Linked DNA regions of Caenorhabditis elegans. The protein of the gene in region 1 purifies or fractionates together with the protein of each later gene. This does not show direct contact. Each region holds a gene or a part of one and is shown on either strand. Other genes may lie near its edges. The genes, in order: myo-1 and C04F12.8.

Region 1 (10,824 bases):
TGGAACCCGATTTTTCACAGAATTCATTTTTATCGACTTCGCAATTCAGCCAATTTTCGAAACTACTGGAAAATACTTGAAAACCAGTTTCTTATGTGACCTTTTCAACACATCCACGTGGTTCACATTTTATCATTTCGAACTTTCCTCAACAGAGGCTGAAGTGATGTGTGTGTTAATTTGTGCAATAAAAAATAAACTTTTCTATCCTTTTACCACCTCAAAACCAGTTTTTCACAATTCGAATTCCATTTTTTTTTCAAAATTATCAGAGACTTACTTACCTATGTGTCATTTGTCAGTGTCTCTCAAAATTCTATACTATTTCTGACAAATAGCCTCTCATTCTAATTACTGGTCGTTTTTTGGACTAAAATGAGGGGTCAAAAGATTGGAAAATAAGACAAGTTTGTCATAAACGGCAAATAAAAACTCATTGAAAAGAGACCCGGCCCCTTTCAATACATTTAGTATCAATTCTCCAAAAGTTTATGATCCTCGTTTTCGATGTTCAGTGTGTTGCGAGAGACGGTTTATTTGCAGGTAACATGACTTTCAACGATGGTGACAACGATCGGATTGGAAAAGAAGAAGAACATGCTGGATTGATTGAAAATCAGATTATTTCACAGAAAACGAAGGTGAGCATTTTGACAATTCACTAGAAAAACAATGGAGAAACTATTTGAACTAAATATTTTTCCATACAAATATATCCGAGAGACGAAAATTGTTTTGAAATTTCGGCACTTTGGCAATTGCAGATCACGAAACATTTCAAGGTTTTAAGGCAAAAACAATTAATCTTATGTATGGAAGCTGCAAAATGTCCCGGCTTAAGGTTTCGAAAAGAATTCTTGTGAAATACGGTTCACAGAAAGTGAGAAATGCAAACATCTCATCATTCACATATGACAATGACCAAAATTTTTCTAAAAACTCTCTGAAATACGATTTCAACAAAATTATAAATTTCCTTGTCCTGCCAATACTTACTTAGGGTTACTGTAGAATAAATATTATTGTGGAAGTACTTACTTCCTTTTTCTATTTTCAGTGGTTTCTAATTAGAAATTCAAGTTTTCGTCAAAACAAAACAACTTCAGTAATTATTTTTTGAAACGATGACTCAACTAAACAGATCAGTTTTATTTTCAAAAATCGTTGAGAGAAATTTCAAGTGATCATATTTTTATAGTTTGTGTTTAACTAGAATATAATCAATGACCATCTCTCAAACTTTTGCAGTAAATCTTCTCATTTTATGAGATCAATTATTTCCGCTAGCATCTTTATCTTAAGATATCACCATCTTCCAATATATTTTCAACGAAACAATTTGAACCTTCCAATGATTTATCAGTTTTATTTTTAATATATATTTTTTAGAAACAATTACCATCCTGGCTGGATCGTCCATATCATGTTTGGAGGGATCAGTTTCAACAGGATAAATGTTGCCCCAAGAAAATGGTTAAGCGGGAGGTGAGCACTGGGACATTAACCAGAAAATTATTTTAAAAACAAAACCACTGTAGGCAAATGATGCTCAGGCGGAAGATTTTAATTATGAACAATTTTCTAAAACATGAAAATCAGAAATCAATTTTTTTAACGTGCTGGTAATATTTTTGAAAAATAAAGTTCAAATTTTCAGTTAATGTTTGCCTCGACATATGTTCTCATTCTGAACGTTGCGTTAATTCTTTATGTTCTATTCGGATGTCAAGTCTTCGATCTGCGACATTCTTCGACAAATAATGAAGCATCCTTCTTGGATAGAGCTCTTTTCTGCATTACAACAATTTCAACAATTGGTAAATATGATACTTTAGATCTCAAATAAAATAACTATTTGAAAACTGACAGGATATGGAAACATTGCTCCATTTGACGATCGAGGAAAAGTAATTTGTATATTATATTGTGTGGCTGGAATACCATTGTTCTTCATGACTGTTGCAACGAATAGTGTACTTGTTGTAGATATTTGTAATATTGTACACAGAAGTTATAGCTCACAGGTAATCTTTATATTTGAATTTCAGATGTTTAACAGTAATTTTCAGAACGTGGAGAACTCCGGATTTCGATGGTATACCTCTGCAATTCTTCTAGCCGCTCATTGTTTTATTGGAGCTCTCATATTCTCACTGTGGATCGATCAACTTGACTTTCTAGATGCATTCTATTTTAGTTTCATTTCGATTACAACTATTGGATATGGAGATTACTCCCCAACTCCAGAAGGACTTTTTCAATATATAATTGTAACTGTATACCTTTGCACTGGAGTTGCTACAATGCTTCTATTTTTTGCAAGTCTTCAAAAAGGAATCATGTGGATTCATTACTATGGAAGAAAGGTTTCAGATTCAGAAGAAGCTGAAATTTGGTTTGGAGGGCAAATGATGACTGTCAAGGATTTGGTCACTTTGGTGGCTGAAAAGTTTGGATCAACGCCGGAAAAACTGAGGGAAGTATTACATGATCTTGATAAGATATTGGAAGTTGCATGCAAACAAGCAGAGGAAGATGACGATGAAGAAGATTGGAGATCAGTTAATAATTCGGAAGCTTTATCTCCTCCTGCTCCAAGAAAGAAGACAGTTTTCTTATCAGGATCTTCCGATGGAGATGATTGTCAGGCAACGATTCATTCCTTCACAAGTACTAATCAGAGAAGTATTCCGAAGGATACTGAGTTGGTAGGTGATAACGGAAATATTACGGGAAATTCAGAAAAACAGAGTTTTCTTTAAAAAAAATTCCGTCCAAATTGGAATATTTATTTGAGGAGACAGAAATTCCCGACTGAATTTCCAGTTGCACCATTTCCTTTGAATCAAAATGTTCCCTCATGGTGATATCTACTTTACTTCAAACTTTAATTTAATTACTTTAAAAATAGAAACTCATTAAATGTTTCGGAAATTTGCTTGGAAAGTTCTTTATCCGCGGCTATATATCCCGAACTTACTTTTTAGCGTCCTTCCTATTTTATTTTTCGTCGTTTACTTTTTTTTTTGGCCATAGGAGCATTTTTAAGTCTACCATACGCTCCTTTAGATAAAAATATATAATTTTAATTTTCAATTTATTTCAGGCAATTCTTGCCCTCGGCACTATTCAACATCATTTGAGGAAACCATCAGTTCGAGGAATACACGGTCACCACCATCATCCAAAGATTCCATTTTCTAAACCGGCCTCTGTAAGTTAACTGAAATTGCTTCTAAGTGATATTTCATATGTTTAGGACAGCAATATTGAGTCAAAAGAAGCAATTACATCACTTGATTTACGGAAGAAAGCTCATCGGGTACACAGTGATGGTCGACTTTTACTGCAACAAGATGTGTAGATATTCTGCAATTTTAGATTTTTCGAAACAAAAAAAGAAACGGATATCAATAATGTGTTACTTTGTCAATTCACCTGGTCAAAACAAGTGGCTTTAATACGTAATTTTTTAACGAAAGAAACTCATTGTTCTGATTGTATTATTTCTATGGAAATAAATGAAACATTTTTCCCCAGCTGACTACGAGCTTAATTTTTCGTTTCAGTATTTGGAAACAAACTTGAGAACATAAAGTCATTTTATTAATAGGTTGATAACTGTATGTAGTAGAAAATAGTAAATTGACAGCATATTGAGCGCAGTCATTAAACAGTGGCATTCTCTGGTAAAGGTTAAAGTGGGAATAGACTCAAAAAGGTCTTAAACTAACTAATTTCATTATTCTTTAAAAAATATCGAAAATGTTGGGAATATTTTTGCCATCAGAATCCTTTTTGCATATATATTTATTGTAATTTTTTAATTAACTTATCCTTTGAATTTTTTAAGAAAAAATTCTGAAACAACATTTTCTAGTAGATCAGCAATACTTACAAGGAAAAAGAATGGTACATGTCACAGAAATCTTAGAAATTTCGAGAGTCTTCTTAAAAGTTTTTAGAAACTTTAATTTTTTATTTCAATTTGCTGAGAAACAAACTAATTCAACTTTTCGTGTTTCCAGACTGTTAACTAGGAGAAAATGATTTCAATTCTTGGTCGATGTACATACTTGATCGGTGTTCCCGTGTTCACTTTGAATTTCAGGGGGTGGCCCCGAGAACAAAGATGAATAAGAGGAGCGAAAATCTCAAAAAGAAACAGACACACACACATTTACGCACACACATACAAATACTGTGTGAGAGATATAGATGGGGGAGAAATTGGGCAAATATTACTATTAGAAAAACGAGAAAAATTCGAAGAAAAGGCGAGCGGAGGATGCGCAGAAGTATCCGAGTGTGGGATGGGGGAGCAAAGACATGGCACAAAAAAGTCGAGAGATTCGGTGAAACTTCCTTCACCAATGCCACTTGGTCTCTCATCATTATTACAACACATTTTTGGAGAGAATGGATATGAAAGTTAGGTTAAGCTACAAAAAAAACGTTATTTGCAACAGTTAAAAAAACAGGTTTCTCAAACAATCTATAACTAATAATCTGAAAAGTTAATTCCTAGCTGGGAGACTAATATCTGATCAGCACATAATATGTCCAGAGAGATCTTCGCAGCAGTGATATTGTGGCACACATCCCCAACGAAGTCGGCCACAATGTGCCAAACGCGCCTCGCAGTGAGTGCATTGCGGATGCTCGTTTTCGTGAAACACATATCGTACCGGTCCTCAATCGAAATGAGTATGCGCACATCGCGAATGAACTATGCGAATACAAAATAGTGATTTTTAAATGAAAACGTTAAGGTTGAATATCATGGTTTGACAAAAAAAATAAATACTTATAAAATTGCTTGAGGTATTAAGGTACACTATATTGAATATTATTTGGCAGCACAGTTTCTATATAACATTTTCTCATGTTAAATTTTTTGATGGATTTCTGAATTTTAATGTAGACAAATGTTTTCAACGACAAAGCATCCAACTTTGAATGTACTTCAAAGAACACGATGGAAGCAAAAATATTTTTTTAAACTCAAAACGTCGCTTTTTTTAAAATTTTTCTAAATAATTGTGTCCAAATCCGATTTAGATCTATTATTATTATTCGGATTTCTTACACAGTATTCATTAATGTTCTAATAGTGTTGTTTCTAATAATAAAATAAGACCAGTTTGCTGGTCCAGGTTACTGAAATCACTGATTCCAATTTTTTATACAAATATAAGTAAACTAAGAATGAATCCCTTAATTTTTTTTCTACATTTTTTTATCTACTCCCACAAGTTCCAAGCGCTTACTCTCAAAAATCTCTTACGTATGTCTCTATCCAATAATAATGTGTGCTCAAAAAAGCGCGGGCTCATTCCGAAAGAACCCCCTCCTCTGATTTTTTCAACAAGTTCTACAGTAATCTCTTCGTTTCTCAATTTAACATACTCTTTCGATGAACCTGAAAGATAAAGTACTTGGACTGGCGACGCAAAAGCTCAAAACGTATGGACAATGCACATCCAAGAGACGTTTGATGCTCTCGGCAACAGTTCATTGTGTGGATATCGGAGAGCCCCCTTTCTTGCGCACGGGCGCTAAGCAAGAGAGGAAGATGAGGGGGAGTTTGAGTTGCTCCGCCCTATGAAGTGTGCCGAGTGAAGCTCTCTCTTGTGTGTGCCAAACTATTATCCGTCCCTGCAGAGCACAGTAGTGTGGAGCTGTGTGCAGTGCAGCAGTAGGAAGAAAAAGAAGAAGTCACCCACCTGTTTAGCCTCATTTTTCAATTAGCCGTTCGTTTTAATTTCCACTGAAACAAATCAAGAATGTCGCTCGAACACGAGAAGGACCCAGGATGGCAGTACCTGAAAAGGTCGAGAGAGCAACAGCTCGCGGTAAGATTTTACTTCTTTCATTTTACTTTCTACTTTTTCCTAGGTTTACATTCGACGTATTTTTTCTCCTCATAAATCCTAATCTTCTCAAATTCCAAAATATTCGAAATTTATCTGAAGTCGCTGCTTTTTATACACTTCTAATAACGAATTGTTCCTTCAGTTTTGAACCTAATAAAATACCGTATTTTCCCAATTTGTCCTTCTCTCGACAAATAATATTTCATCTATTTTGAGTATAGAAACAATTCAATTTAATTTTCCAACTAGAACAAGATTCAATCTTTATTTTACTTGTTGAATATGTTCTGATAAACTTTAAAATGAAACTTTTTCAATTACAATAGAGTTATTTTAAAGTGGTTAAGTGAGCATTTTTACAGCAAAATATTAAAAATTGTTTCTTGGCTACTTTTTTAAACATATTTTCAAGGTTCAATCTCTTAAAATTCTTACCGGTTTTTCGGTAGATCGTTATTTTTAAAGCTTCTAAACTTCACCGTTTTGATATTTAGGATAATAATTATTTTATAACTATGTATGAATATAAATTAATTTTTATATTTTTTTTATTTTACAGGATCAATCCCGCCCATACGATTCGAAGAAGAACGTCTGGATTCCAGATGCCGAAGAAGGATACATTGAGGGAGTTATTAAGGGTCCAGGACCAAAGGCCGATACTGTTATCGTTACCGCCGGAGGCAAAGATGTAACTTTGAAGAAGGATATCGTTCAAGAAGTCAATCCACCAAAGTTCGAGAAAACCGAAGACATGTCCAACTTGACTTTCCTTAATGACGCCTCCGTTCTGTGGAATTTGCGTTCCCGTTACGCTGCTATGCTTATCTATGTAAGTTTTTTCAGTTTCAAAAAACTTCAAATAGAAACACGGAAAAAAGATCTGCGAAAATGCGTAGTTGGATAGGCAAATAGTGCGCCCACGCAAAAGTGGCAAAATGCTATCTTAAGTGGATCGAGACAGACGATGAGAAACAAAGAGAGTCATGCTCAATGTGCACAGTGAGTAAAGAGAAAATTTATATTGGAATTTTGGACTGAAATTGGAATGGTACTAAAAATATGTGATTCAACAAAGGCAGTATTGAGAATATAAAAATATCGTTCCAAAAAATAACTAAATTTGAATACTACTGAAATTTAAAGAAGTAAGTTCTATAAAAATGGGATATTGACTGAAACAAAATGTTCCAATTTGCCCATTTTCAGACCTACTCTGGACTTTTCTGCGTTGTCATCAACCCATACAAACGTCTCCCAATTTACACTGACTCTGTTGCTCGTATGTTCATGGGCAAGCGTCGTACCGAGATGCCACCTCATTTGTTCGCTGTCTCTGATCAAGCCTACCGTTACATGCTTCAAGACCATGAGAATCAGTCTATGCTTATTACCGGAGAATCTGGAGCCGGAAAGACTGAAAACACAAAGAAGGTTATTTGCTACTTTGCCACCGTCGGAGCTTCACAAAAGGCTGCTTTGAAGGAGGGAGAGAAGGAAGTTACCCTTGAAGACCAGATCGTTCAAACCAATCCAGTATTGGAAGCTTTCGGTACAGACATAAATTAAAAAATTAACACTTGTCTGATAATTTGGTTGTTTAGGTAACGCCAAGACTGTCCGTAACAACAATTCTTCCCGTTTCGGAAAGTTCATCCGTATTCACTTCAACAAGCACGGAACTCTTGCTTCCTGCGATATTGAACACTGTAAGTTGATAATAATGATAAGAAGTTATTACGAAAATCGTAAATTGTTCAGATCTTCTCGAGAAATCTCGTGTCATCCGTCAAGCTCCAGGAGAGCGTTGTTACCATATCTTCTACCAAATCTACTCAGATTTTAAGCCACAACTCCGTGACGAGCTTCTTCTCAACCATCCAATTTCCAACTATTGGTTTGTTGCTCAAGCTGAGTTGCTCATTGATGGTATGTTTTGTATTTCTGGAGAATGAGATTAACTTGTTTTATTCCAGGAATCGATGACACTGAGGAGTTCCAATTGACCGACGAGGCCTTTGATGTTCTCAAATTCTCGCCCACCGAGAAGATGGATTGTTATAGACTCATGTCGGCTCACATGCACATGGGTAACATGAAATTCAAGCAACGCCCACGTGAGGAGCAAGCCGAGCCAGATGGCCAAGATGAAGCTGAGAGAGCTTGTAACATGTACGGAATTGATGTCGATCAATTCCTTAAGGCTTTGGTGTCTCCAAGAGTCAAGGTCGGAACCGAATGGGTATCCAAGGGACAGAACGTTGATCAAGTTCACTGGGCTATTGGAGCCATGGCTAAGGGGTTATACGCTCGTGTCTTCCACTGGCTTGTCAAGAAATGTAATCTTACTCTTGATCAAAAGGGAATTGATCGTGATTATTTCATCGGAGTACTCGATATTGCTGGATTCGAAATCTTCGACTTCAATTCCTTCGAACAGCTCTGGATTAACTTCGTCAACGAAAAACTCCAACAATTCTTCAACCATCACATGTTCGTTCTTGAGCAGGAAGAGTACGCCCGTGAAGGAATCCAATGGACATTCATTGATTTCGGACTTGATCTCCAAGCTTGTATCGAGCTTATTGAGAAGCCACTCGGTATCATCTCTATGCTTGATGAGGAGTGTATTGTTCCAAAGGCTACTGACATGACTCTTGCCCAGAAGCTTACCGATCAACATCTTGGAAAGCATCCAAACTTCGAAAAGCCAAAACCACCAAAGGGAAAGCAAGGAGAGGCTCACTTCGCCATGCGGCATTACGCCGGAACTGTCCGTTACAACGTGTTGAACTGGCTCGAGAAGAACAAGGATCCTCTCAACGACACCGTTGTCTCCGTCATGAAGGCTTCGAAGAAGAACGACCTTCTTGTCGAAATCTGGCAAGATTACACCACCCAAGAAGAAGCTGCTGCCGCCGCTAAGGCCGGAGGTGGTCGCAAGGGAGGAAAGTCTGGATCTTTCATGACTGTATCCATGATGTACAGAGAATCTCTCAACAAGCTCATGACTATGCTTCACAAGACTCATCCACATTTCATCCGTTGTATCATTCCTAACGAGAAGAAACAATCTGGAATGATTGATGCCGCCCTTGTGCTCAACCAGCTTACATGTAACGGAGTGTTGGAAGGAATTAGAATTTGCAGAAAGGGATTCCCCAACAGAACTCAACATCCAGATTTCGTCCAACGTTACGCTATCCTTGCCGCCAAGGAAGCCAAGTCATCGGATGACATGAAGACTTGTGCCGGAGCTATCCTTCAAGCACTTATCAATCAAAAACAATTGAATGATGAACAATTCAGAATTGGACACACTAAAGTCTTCTTCAAGGCTGGAGTTGTTGCCCACATTGAAGATCTGAGAGATGACAAGCTTAACCAGATTATCACTGGATTCCAATCTGCCATCCGTTGGTACACTGCCACTGCTGATGCCGGAGCAAGACGCAAGCAACTCAACTCATACATCATCCTTCAACGCAACATCCGTTCCTGGTGCGTCCTCCGTACTTGGGATTGGTTCTTGCTGTTCGGAAAGCTCCGTCCACAACTTAAATGCGGAAAGATGGCTGAAGAAATGATCAAGATGGCTGAAGAGCAAAAGGTTCTTGAAGCTGAAGCCAAGAAGGCCGAATCTGCCAGAAAATCTCAAGAAGAGGCTTACGCCAAGCTGTCCGCTGAGAGATCAAAACTTTTGGAAGCTCTCGAGCTTACCCAAGGAGGATCTGCTGCCATCGAAGAGAAGCTTACCCGCCTCAACAGTGCTCGTCAAGAAGTTGAGAAGTCTCTGAATGACGCCAACGACCGTCTTTCGGAGCATGAAGAGAAGAACGCTGATCTTGAGAAGCAACGCAGAAAGGCTCAACAAGAAGTTGAAAACTTGAAGAAGTCGATCGAAGCCGTAGATGGAAACTTGGCTAAATCTCTTGAGGAGAAGGCCGCCAAGGAAAACCAGATCCATTCCCTTCAAGATGAGATGAACTCTCAAGATGAGACTATTGGAAAAATCAACAAGGAGAAGAAGCTTCTTGAAGAGAACAACCGTCAACTTGTCGACGATCTTCAAGCTGAAGAAGCCAAGCAAGCTCAAGCCAACCGACTTCGTGGAAAGCTCGAGCAAACTTTGGACGAAATGGAAGAAGCTGTTGAAAGAGAGAAGAGAATCAGAGCTGAAACTGAGAAATCTAAGAGAAAGGTTGAGGGTGAACTCAAGGGAGCTCAAGAAACTATCGATGAGCTCTCCGCCATCAAGCTTGAAACTGATGCTTCCCTCAAGAAGAAGGAGGCTGATATCCATGCTCTTGGAGTCAGAATTGAGGATGAGCAAGCACTTGCCAACAGACTTACCCGCCAATCCAAGGAAAATGCTCAACGCATTATTGAAATCGAAGATGAGCTTGAGCACGAGAGACAATCTCGCTCCAAGGCTGACCGTGCTCGTGCTGAGCTTCAACGCGAGCTTGATGAGCTCAACGAGAGACTTGACGAACAGAACAAGCAACTCGAAATCCAACAAGACAACAACAAGAAGAAGGATTCTGAAATCATCAAGTTCCGCAGAGATCTTGACGAGAAGAACATGGCCAACGAAGATCAGATGGCTATGATACGCAGAAAGAACAATGACCAAATTTCTGCCTTGACCAACACCTTGGATGCTCTTCAGAAGTCTAAGGCTAAGATCGAGAAGGAGAAGGGAGTCCTCCAAAAGGAACTCGATGACATCAATGCTCAGGTTGATCAAGAGACCAAGTCTCGTGTTGAACAGGAACGTCTTGCCAAGCAATACGAAATCCAAGTTGCCGAGCTTCAACAAAAGGTTGACGAGCAATCGAGACAAATCGGAGAGTACACTTCCACCAAGGGAAGACTTTCCAACGACAACTCCGATCTTGCTCGTCAAGTTGAAGAGCTCGAGATTCATTTGGCTACCATCAACCGT
Region 2 (10,717 bases), 2.4 Mb from region 1:
TCGAATACCGGATCACATGATTTATAATTTTGGGCTGAAAAACGGTTATCTTTCTGTCAATAACAAGTGAACGGTAAGCGGAGATTCTTATGATTCACCATTTTGCAGCGGAATGAAAAAATCTCATTTAAAGAATAGAATGAAAAATCGGAACAACATATGCCTCTTGTGAATTCAATTTTGTGCTCTTTTAAAAATTTTCGCGTAATAATTTTTCAGCATACGGTCCACTTTTTCTAAATGTATTGTTTTTCTTCAGAATATTTGTGCTGCACCCCAATGCTCCAACTTAGGTTGCTCACACCCCACCTGCAATCAATACCTGATCTTGGAAACTGAAAACTCTTGATTTCTGATTTCTTGAAAGTTTTACCTCTCCTCTCTTAAATCTGCCCAAAAGAAGATCCTCTGCATCATTAATTGATTTCCGTTCCATCTTATATTTTTCGTAATCCATCTTCCATGAGCAATTCTTATCTTGGAGTCAGCTCATCAAGAAAATTTTATTTTTCTCTCCTCTAATCTTGCCAATATTTCCTTTTCGGCTTTCCATCTAATCCAAATTCGGAAATAAAATCCTAATCTCTTGAGCCTAGAGAGCTTTAACGTGGATATGTAATACATGGCTCTCGATTTTGAATTTGCAGGTTTAGAATAATTTTCTTTTTTGTGACAGCTAAAACCCCTTCAATTGTTCATTCAGTTATCATTGGACTAGAAAAAGTTGTGAAAAAGTAAAAATTAAGAGACAAGAAACTTCATTCACTTGTTACCGCTTCGACGCCTTTCTTCATTCTATTTTCATCTTCTCGTCCCGTCTGAATTGTGCTCTCTTTGTTCATTTTGTGAATAAGTAGTGACGACTGCTCACCGACAGCAGGAAGGACATTTTTCAGCGTCTGATCAACAACTTCTTCTCATTCTTCTTGTTCGTGTTTTCTCACCTTCTTTTCCCATATAACTTGTTTTTCATTTTCCTATTGTTATCACTCATATATATTCTCTTATTTTATTTTGTTGCAAGTTTATGGGAGCCTCTATATCTTGCACTTGTTTTTGCATATAACTTTTGAACGAGTATTGCTCAGAACCATTTGATATCATGATAAAAATAATTCCAAAAAAAGGTGGCAAGCAATATCAGCTCTGGAAAAAGTATATCATCTTAATCTGAAAACCTACATCATTTCCGGTTTTCTGTTGTCAAGGGAGGCAGTTGTGTAATGTTAAAGTGATAAATGATAGATATATCACTAACACAATCTTCTAACTTACACAAATCGGAAAAGTTATCAAGAGAGACCTCGATTATTGTGTAACATCTTTATTTCTCATCCTCCTCCCAATTTCAGCTGATTTCTAGATACAATCTTTGAAAGTCTGCGTCTTTTTTGAGCTGATCAACGATCCAGTGTCATTTGAAATCTAAAAACTTCTAAAAAGTGGCCCAGAAATTGTCATTTTCCCACCTCAACCACTCGATTTGTTTGTCTCTCAAAAAAAAGGTCGAACACGAAAATATTTGCTGCTCTTTTCTATTTGGACAACTCTTTCTGTTATTATTGTGATTGCTGATTCTCCTTTGATTTGCTTTTTATTCTTTAGTCGTTAGTTGTTTTTAGTTCTTCGCAGGCGGTTTTTTTTAACTTTCGGTATTTGTGAAAATTAAATGGTTAGAAGAAACCAGAGAGCATAAAAATGTTTGAGCTTTGAAAACAAATTAATCTGGTAGCATTTTTTCAAAAAAACAAAAACTTCCAAAAACCTTGACCAATGTTTGTTTAATCCTATGAATACATTTAAGATCTTTGACAGTTTATTATAAAAAGTCTGCATTGAAAAAAAGTCTACAAGCATCAAAATTTATTTTGAAAAATTCACCAAAAAATTTCACATTGAAATAAAAAAAATGCAAATTTTTAAAATGAAATTTAATTCCATTTAAAAGTGTGGAAAGTGTGCTCGAAATTGGCTGTAGGTTGCAATTGACAAATAAAGACTTTCAACTCAGATCTACCGAGAAATTCTCAATAAAAATAAATTTTATTCTCGAATTACCAAAATATATTTTGTATAAATAAACCTATGTTTATAATTAATTTGAAAATTGGGTTATTATACCGAAACGAGCAGTTTTGTAAATTTGAAGATGACGCACACCCCTGTAAACAAATTGAGAAAGTATGGTCATGCCAAAGTAATAGGTAATCACCTCTTTTTCATATGCAGAGGGTTGTTTAAAATTCTTGGAAATCTTGAATATCATCTTCTTCTATTTTTATCTTCCCATGTCTTTTTGTCTACATTTCTCTCAACCTACACTACTTTTCATCCATTATCACCCTCCCTCAAGCTTTTTCTAGTTGTATCAATTTCGTTTCTTTCTCTAAATCTCTTTATTCTCAACACTATTTCACATTCTGAGCAAGAAGATTACACCTTTGTCCTACGGGTACATGCGTACTCGGGGAGATGATACTTCCTCCACAATTTTGTGCCATCGTCAAAGATCAGTAAGAGTAGTTAAGACTCGTTTGTTTTGAGAAACAAGTTTCATTCTTTAACCATTTTCCCCAAAACAACCACAATTTTCAAACTCTTACCTTCACTTTCACTTTTGATTTGAAAGTTTCTCTAAGACGTTTCTAGAAACATCTTGTTTATGCTTACTGTGGAAATGGTTTCATCAATTGTTTTTATAAAAGAAGTCATTTGTTATTTTGGACGATTTTGGTTTATTTTTCTCAAATTTTACGAACACAGAATTTGAAATTATATGTTTTTGCTAAGTTACTGTGCAGCAGGCTGATGTGATAATTTCGGCAAGTTTTAACCCACTTCCTACTGTGAAAATTTTAAAAAAAGTAAATATAAAAATGGAAATAACTAAATTTTTGGAAAATTATAATTAAATTCCCTCACTTATACAGATCAGAAAATATAAGAAAAACATAAGTCAATGATAAAACTAGAAATAATTTACTAAGAAAGGCAATGCAATTGGGCATTCAAATGGGAATTTCGCCAAAACTGAACATTTATCAATTTCCAACTTGAAATAAAAAATTTCTGCAGATTGATTTCTGGAAGCATTTTGGCACTCGCCGATTTCTGAAATTTTGTAATATTTTCGGAAACTAAAACGTAAAGTTTTTCGCACAATTTTATAACTGTAAACATCTCACAACTTTGAAAATGGTTTCACTCACACCGTCACAAAGCTAACTCTGAAGTTCCATAAGCTTCAGGTGATTTAAAGCGAGAAAACTGAGAACTTCTATATCTAGTCATCTGCATTCTCTCTTGATTCCTCTTCTTCTCACCCTCTGAACTTTTACTTTTTAATCGTATCGTTTTGGCTGAAACGATACCCTCTCACTCCCACAGGAACGCATTGTTCCTCCTTTCGCCACGTCATTCACTTCCAACAAACAAGTCACCTTCTCCTCCCACTAGTTCTTTGTGAGCAAATATTAGGAAAAGTCAAGGAAAGGGAGAAACAAAGGGTCGAGAACCAGGTGATGATCAATGTTTGGGTTGCCAACTACCGTTTGACACACAAATCTTTACTTTCTTTTCCACTTGAATAAGTGATATGGATAGGTTTCTTAGGTACATTCTCTGAAGATAGTCTAGATTCTTCTAGAGAAACTCTTTTGGGGATTACAATTTTTATTCCAAAAATTTTTCAGCTTATTTTTCACAGATTCATAAAATTTTGATAATTTTGGAGGTTTGGTGAACTTGTTGAAATAGTCAAAATTGTTTTGAGCGTTTAAATTTTGAAGTTTTTAGAATTTTTATTTACTTCATTGGGTCAAAAAATGAAATCGTTTCTTAAAATAGAAATTTTCAAAGCTTTCAGATTGTTTTTTTAAAGATTAAATGTTTCCATATTGTGAAAATTTCATGAAAACGACTTGAATATTATATAATATTAACGAACATAGTTTCACATATTAAAATTTCAAATCTCATGTATCATCTCTTTATAGTTAACTTGATTTTTTGAGTCATTACTGGAGAAATGCCCGTTTTCCAATTCCAAACTGATCGAAAAAAGTTCAAGAGAAAAATGACCGCATTTATCAAATGTAATAACAGGGTAAGAATTCAGGAAATGAGTGGGCTCATTTTGTGTCACGAGAACCAGATGCGTTTTTGTTCGGAAAATGATGAGTTACATTTTGAACATTTCGCAAAAGTCCAGCAAGAGCTCAGTTTATTTATTTTTTCTTCCGTTAGAACTCAAATCGGTGTTTTTTATATTCAAAAAACATTCTCTTCCAGTTTCGTCCACAAGAAATTTTGCGATATAAATAAGAAAGCAGGTGTGTCTAAAAAAGACAGATTATCTTTGATTCCTCAGAAACCGCAAAAAAATGTCGAATTACAAAATATTGTTACTGTTTCTAACCCATCTTAATACATAAATCATCAAAAACCATTTCTCGAAACAAGAGACAAAATGTTTTTGCAAATGCCATCTCTCTTTTCCTCCACTAATTTCCTTTTTCATTGCCCAAATTCTTTGCCGCCGGGGGAAACAGTTACTAACTTTTTTTAAAAATTTTTCTCTCTATATCTCTTTACCTTGTGACCGCCATTTACCTTTGAAGTTTGTCGAAAAATCCGGTTTTGTACCAATTTTGCAAATTTTTCCCAAAAATTCATTTTTTCAAAGGAAGTCTAACTACCATGTAATGTATTCTTTTGTCCTTTTAAACTGCCTCTCCTTTTTCTAAAACTCTTATATTTTAGATATATTTAACTTTAAAATGTTTTTCAGAAATATGTCGAGGAATGTTGGTGTTCTCGGACAAATGTCTGAAATTAATGATCATCTGTATCTTTCGGGTGCCGGAGTTTTGAAGCCAGATAAAATTAAACAAAGAAAAATTAATATGATTGTAAATGCAACCACTGAAGAGCCATCCACGTATATGCAAGGTTCGTTCGAATTTTCCTTAAAAAAGAGAAAACACCCCAATCCACCAGCCATTTTTCGATTTTCCACAAAAATACGGAAAAATCAAAAAAAAAAAAAATTTCGGCGATACTCTTGCCCCGGAAAAACTATAAACTACCTTTTTAGAATCAATTTTGATAAACTTATACCTATTTCAGGAGTTGACACAATGAAAATTCGAATTGAAGATCATCCATATGCAAGGCTCAGTGAGCATTTTGATGTTGTTGCTGACAAAATCCGTAATGTTAAGGTATATTTTAGTGTTTAAAATCTTCAACTTCCTAGAGTTTTTGAAATGTTTTCAAAATTATGTTTCATTTAAATGTTTCATAACTTCTGTTCATCGTGTGGACATTACGATTTAAAGAGAAGGAACGAAGACACAAAAGAGAAAAAAAAAGTAAAAACCAGTTGTTTGTACTCTCGACGGCCGTTCTTAACTGAATTTATGAGTGTAGGCGGAATGGACATTTTTACGAGTGAAGAGAAGAAATGGAAAGTGTTACTGACTGGAGTGAACTTTAGAACGGATAAGGGTCATGGCAGAAATGTTATGAGAGTTTTAAAATCTGAAAATATAAGGGAATTACATATTTTGTTAGAAGTTATGGAAGACAATTTGTTCTTTTTTTAAGACTAGGCTTCTATGTAGGCAACAAATGTCTGCACACCTGCCTTCAGGCTTGGCTCAAATCACACAGGGATCCACATGTACTCTAAAAAACGGAGCGAGGTTATAGGCGGCCTCCCGCCGGGCGCCTATAATCTCAGTTCAAATGTATTTAAGACATAAATTTTAAAGTCAGTTCTTTAAAATTTCTTGTTTGTTTTGAAATTGTACAGTTTTTTCAAATCCAATTTTTCAGGAACGAGGCGGAAAAACACTTGTACATTGCATGGCTGGAGTATCAAGATCAGCTTCATTGGTAATGATTTATTTGGTAAAACACGAACATATGACTCTCCGACAAGCATATCACTACGTCAAAGCAGCTCGACCAATTATTCGTCCAAATGTTGGATTCTGGAAACAAATGGTTGATTATGAGAAACGATTGAGAGGAACAGCATCAGTTAAAATGGTTCAGACACCGGAATGTGATATGCCAATTCCAGATGTTTATGCAGATGATATAAGAAGAATGCAGATTAATAGGGAGATCAGTAGGCATTCATTGCCTTCTGCACAGAGCTCCGCGAGCAAGCAGAGAGCTTTTTCAGCAAGGTGAGACAGTTCTCAAACGTTTGCTGCTATTAAATTTTTATAAAATTTCCAAATTTTCGATTTACCGATTTTTAAAAGTTTTTTTGAAGTTTTAGAAAGATCGAGTTTCAAGAAAGTGAACAACTAAAACCTGACTAATTGAAAAATGAAGGTTTGCAAATCGGAAATTCAATAAAGGGATATCGTAACAAATTTCTTCGTTTCTTTAAACGATTTTTCATGAGTTTCGCTAAACTTTTCGGTATTTTTCTCAGTACTAGTACGTTTAAAAATGAAAGAGATATGAGGAATGCTACCGTAAATGTTTCTCGCGGCGAGGGTTCTTACTATAATTAACTTGAATATTCCAGTACATACCGTCCATCCGTATCATCTGCCTCATCCCTTGCCACATCATCACTTCGTCGAGCATACAGTCCATCATCACTTCCGGCTTCAAGTCTTGCTCTTACCACTTCATACAGTCTCTTTTCTCCTGCTCCAACAAGAAAACCACGTCAAAGTCTATTCTCAATGTACTCAACTTCGCCACGTCACAACTTTTTCTCGGCATTTTAACAATAATGTTCTACTGTGTCTCTTGTTTTGTATCATATTTTGACCAAAATTTCAATACTTATCTACTATCAAAAATCAAAAAGCTTTCTTCTAATTTCGATGTAGTTCCGCACTCAAATTTTTATTAAAATTGTATTTTATTTTTTTAATTTGAAATTCTTAACTTTTTTTAAACTTTTCTAAACGCGAAAAAAAGTGGTAACGGGTTGATTTTTCCCCACAAAAACACACAACAATCAACATATTTTCCCATTTTTCCTTTGTCGCTTATTGTCACACACAAATCCAAAGTTTTTCTGTGTATATCATTCCGATAAACATTTTAAAATCTTTTTGGTTGTTGTTCTGAATTTCAGATAAATTATTGAAATTAATAATTAAATTTCTTTCACCTGTTTGGTTTTGGATTTTAATCACGTCTTCAGGAGTAAGGGCCTGTCTACTGCCCACTTTCTGTTTGTAGGTACATAGTGTCAACTAGGCACAGGACGAGGGTCGCCCAGAGGTCGAACAAGCTTATAGAAAGTGCCTTGCATAACTTTTTTCAACGTCAGAGAAAAAATTCAGATCAACTCTGAAAGTGCACATCTGCTGCTGAAAATTCTACCTATTTTAATTGAATTATTTTAAACGACACAGTTTTACATGGAAGTGCAATGTTCAGAAAACTTTTCTCCGTGAAATTGCGTAAAGATTTTGTATTAAATTTAAAATTCTAAACAATTTCACGTCAAATTTTCATGAAAAACGAACTTTCCTACCTCAACGCGATGCCCTACTCTATTTATTTGACACGTCGTAATAAATGCTCAGTTTCTTCACAAATCAATCAGTACTCGATACTAACTAACTTCTCGTCTTCAATCTACTAACCTTCAACAAAATGGGATGCTTATCGTCAATTGAAGCACCACTTTGTGCTGTCATCACTGTCATCTTCCTAGTCAGTGGTCTCTACTCAACTGCATACAAAGTTGCCGGATCAAAAACGGTACTCGATGAGACTGCTCTGGATACTAAAGGTTAGTTTTGCATTTTGTTTCAGATACAGGAAAAGTGCACTGAGCTTGAACTTGATGTAGTTTCAAAGAAGACCTTTGAAACATACAAAAGTTCATGGTCAAATGATCACTTTGAACTATGTCAATCTGAAGTTGTTTCATGTTCTTTTGAAAAAAAAAAAAAAAAAAAAAAAAAAAAAAAAACCTGACAACAAAAAAAAACCTGACAACAAAAAAAACCTGAGAACAACTTCCAAATGACATTGGTTTTATCTGTACATCGAGAATTAATCTCGAACATATCGACCCTAGAAATATAGAATGTTTCAGATATGTTGATGACCGCATTGGCACTCATGTCACTCATTGGACTCTGCTCAACTCGTCGTGCATTTGGTGTCTTCACTCTTCTCTTCATGATGCATGCATTTGTATTCTCAGCTTTCCATCTTGCACATACAATTGCACTCTTCATTAAATCATTCGATTCTCCATGTCAATATCTGAAAACTCCCTCAACTGGAACACTTAATTCGGATATCTGTCATGCTGTTAATGGAGTTACTCTGGTGTGTGCAGTGATTTCAATGATTGCTACTGTAAGTTTCTTAGATTTAATCTAATTAGTTTTATCTGAAAATTGTTCAGGCTCTTGCCAGTATGGCCGTCTTCATTCGTCTCACTACAGTCGTCGTCAAAATTTCGGATAAGAGAGTTATGGCAACAAGTCGTTCATTTGACAACTCAATGCCACAATTAATCAGTAGAAAGTCAATTGAATCGGAGAAAGAAGAAGATTGTTTGGAGACACCAAGAAGAAAAATGGGACAAGCTGATATCTTTGTGTGATTTTAATTGATTTAATAAATATTTCATTAACCCTCCGAGTAGCAAGAATATACATTTTAATAAACGGGATCTCAGCAACAACTTTCTTGATACTCCCTCCTTGACTGCACATAACAGTCGATAAATTGAAAATTATTTTGAAAGTTGCAACCAGCACACCAGCATTTTCAATTGCCCTTTTTCCCAAAACTGAATCTTTAGTTCTTGAAAAAACTAATTTTCTGGATAATCTATTGACTTAGAAACATAACTTTTTAAAGTTTTAAAAGCTTGAGATAAAGTTAATGTACAATTGTGAAATAGTAGTCGACGAATTGAGAAAAGTAGCTTAAAACATTTTCAGACAATTTTTCTCGTAATTTACATTAAATTTCAGTTTGAAAAGTAACTTTGGTTTTTAACGGTGGAGTTATGATGGTGTTGAAATAAAAAAATCGAAAATTGTAATTCTGATATATACGTGATATATTCCAATTTCTTATCAATAAAACTAATCTGGCAAAAAATCCCCCTCCACGAAACGAAATCGAAAATTAAATTATTTCGGTTTTAGTCCAACACTTGGAACACATTTCGATTCGCATCATTCGCAGTGGTTCAGTTTTTATTTAGAACTGGCGGACATCCAGTTTTTTGGATTTCGGATGTCCCCGATGTCGCCCTCGATAGGTAACATGAAGGAATAAGTATTTTTGCAGCTCACTCAAGATGGCATACGTCAAGAGCTTCTACATGGATGCTAGTTTGGAGAGCGACGCCGACGTTCTTCCAGCAACGGAGAGTGACGTGTTCGAGGCACAATTCATTGCCGATGTCCCACTGAACAGCGATGCAATTGCCCGTATCATTGATTCTCAACTCGCGTTTGAGCAAAGCAATCAGGTGGTTTCGGACTATTGCACCGAGAAGCCAGTGGAGCTTGAAAATCCAAATCAGCTGGCAATGAATAACTCAGTTATGGACAATCAGCAATACTTTGCACCGCCAAAAACTGATTCGTCCCACTATGCATGGAACACGAATGACGTTGTCTCTTCTCATCATCAATATGCTGCACAGAGTCCAAACATCTACACCAACGACTATCATACCAGTGAACCATCTGATTATGTCTATATGTGATTTGAAATAAAATGAATTTTTGAAAAGTGAAATTTTTGAAATAAAGTTTTGAAAAGAAATCTGTCTTCCAGTTTGAATAAGAATTTTTAACTTTATTGAATTTTTAAATGTTGTCGTGATTATAATTCTGATGATTGGTAAATATCTTACAAAAGAGATTCGAAGATTATTCAATATGATGGTTGAATAAATAATCAGCTATTCATGCCTTTGAGCATTCTACAAAGACTCTACTTGCGCTCGCATAATACACCCGAAGCAGTTAGAAATATAACGATGAAACCAGACAAAAATGTACAGAAAGTGTTAAATAACCGAAGTTAATTACACAATCTATTAAATGATTTGTTTCAGATTTTTAATTTCTTTTCGGCGTTTCTATGAATTTATTGAGAATTTAGTACTATTATAGGTGTGTTCTGTTATTTTCTTAATTATTTCTCAGAATTTTTTTCCCAAAATAACGGGTAATGTAAGTAATTTAAGTTAAATTGGACAATGGAAATTGGACAATTGGACTCAATAAGTCTTAATGACTTGCACTTCCTATTAGAATTTCTCTCAAAATGACAAATCGAAAAATAGACTTGACTGTAATACTAATAGGGAAAATACGCGAATCATTTAAACAAAAAATATTATTATTACACGTTTCACAAAAAACCTTATCTTTTCAAAAGATCTTTTTGAATATTTTTACCAGTTTTCTTCAAAAAAGAATTTATTCCCAACATTGTCCACTTTTCGATTCGTCGTTCAAGTGTGATAATATTCATTTCCTGATTTGAACACTCAATAAAGAGCTTGTCAACTGCAAGTTTGCGACTATCGACGCTATCAATGGACGTTCAAGATATCATTGGAATTGCTTTGAACTTGGCAACGGCCGGATCTCTTGCAGCAAAAGTATTGCCTGGATGTGGAGGAAAAGTGAGTTTTGAACTGATTAGTGTTCTAGTATTGTACTGAAGCACAAACATGGCACATACC

The links.
Region 2: the proteins of myo-1 (region 1) and C04F12.8 fractionate together in Caenorhabditis elegans (co-fractionation; one large-scale study listed by BioGRID). This does not show direct contact.

Annotation. Positions count from the first base shown.
Region 1 is NC_003279.8:7,261,898-7,272,721, reverse strand, and holds the start of myo-1 (Myosin-1), read left to right. Parts: upstream 1-5,664; 5' UTR 5,665-5,786; coding exon 5,787-5,855; intron 5,856-6,435; coding exon 6,436-6,708; intron 6,709-7,085; coding exon 7,086-7,428; intron 7,429-7,480; coding exon 7,481-7,585; intron 7,586-7,637; coding exon 7,638-7,805; intron 7,806-7,852; coding exon 7,853-10,824. Other genes in the region: twk-1 (Potassium channel domain-containing protein), read left to right, coding at 549-641, 1,390-1,485, 1,658-1,817, 1,870-2,024, 2,070-2,708, 3,107-3,214, 3,260-3,364. UniProt on the Caenorhabditis elegans protein: Muscle contraction.
Region 2 is NC_003279.8:9,693,632-9,704,348, reverse strand, and holds C04F12.8 (Protein-tyrosine-phosphatase), read left to right. Parts: upstream 1-4,782; 5' UTR 4,783-4,793; coding exon 4,794-4,950; intron 4,951-5,127; coding exon 5,128-5,222; intron 5,223-5,327; exon of another isoform or gene 5,328-5,348; intron 5,349-5,838; coding exon 5,839-6,197; intron 6,198-6,547; coding exon 6,548-6,755; 3' UTR 6,756-7,112; downstream 7,113-10,717. Other genes in the region: C04F12.7 (Membrane-associated protein), read left to right, coding at 7,639-7,777, 8,087-8,355, 8,405-8,605; C04F12.12 (Retrovirus-related Pol polyprotein from transposon TNT 1-94), read left to right, coding at 9,314-9,727.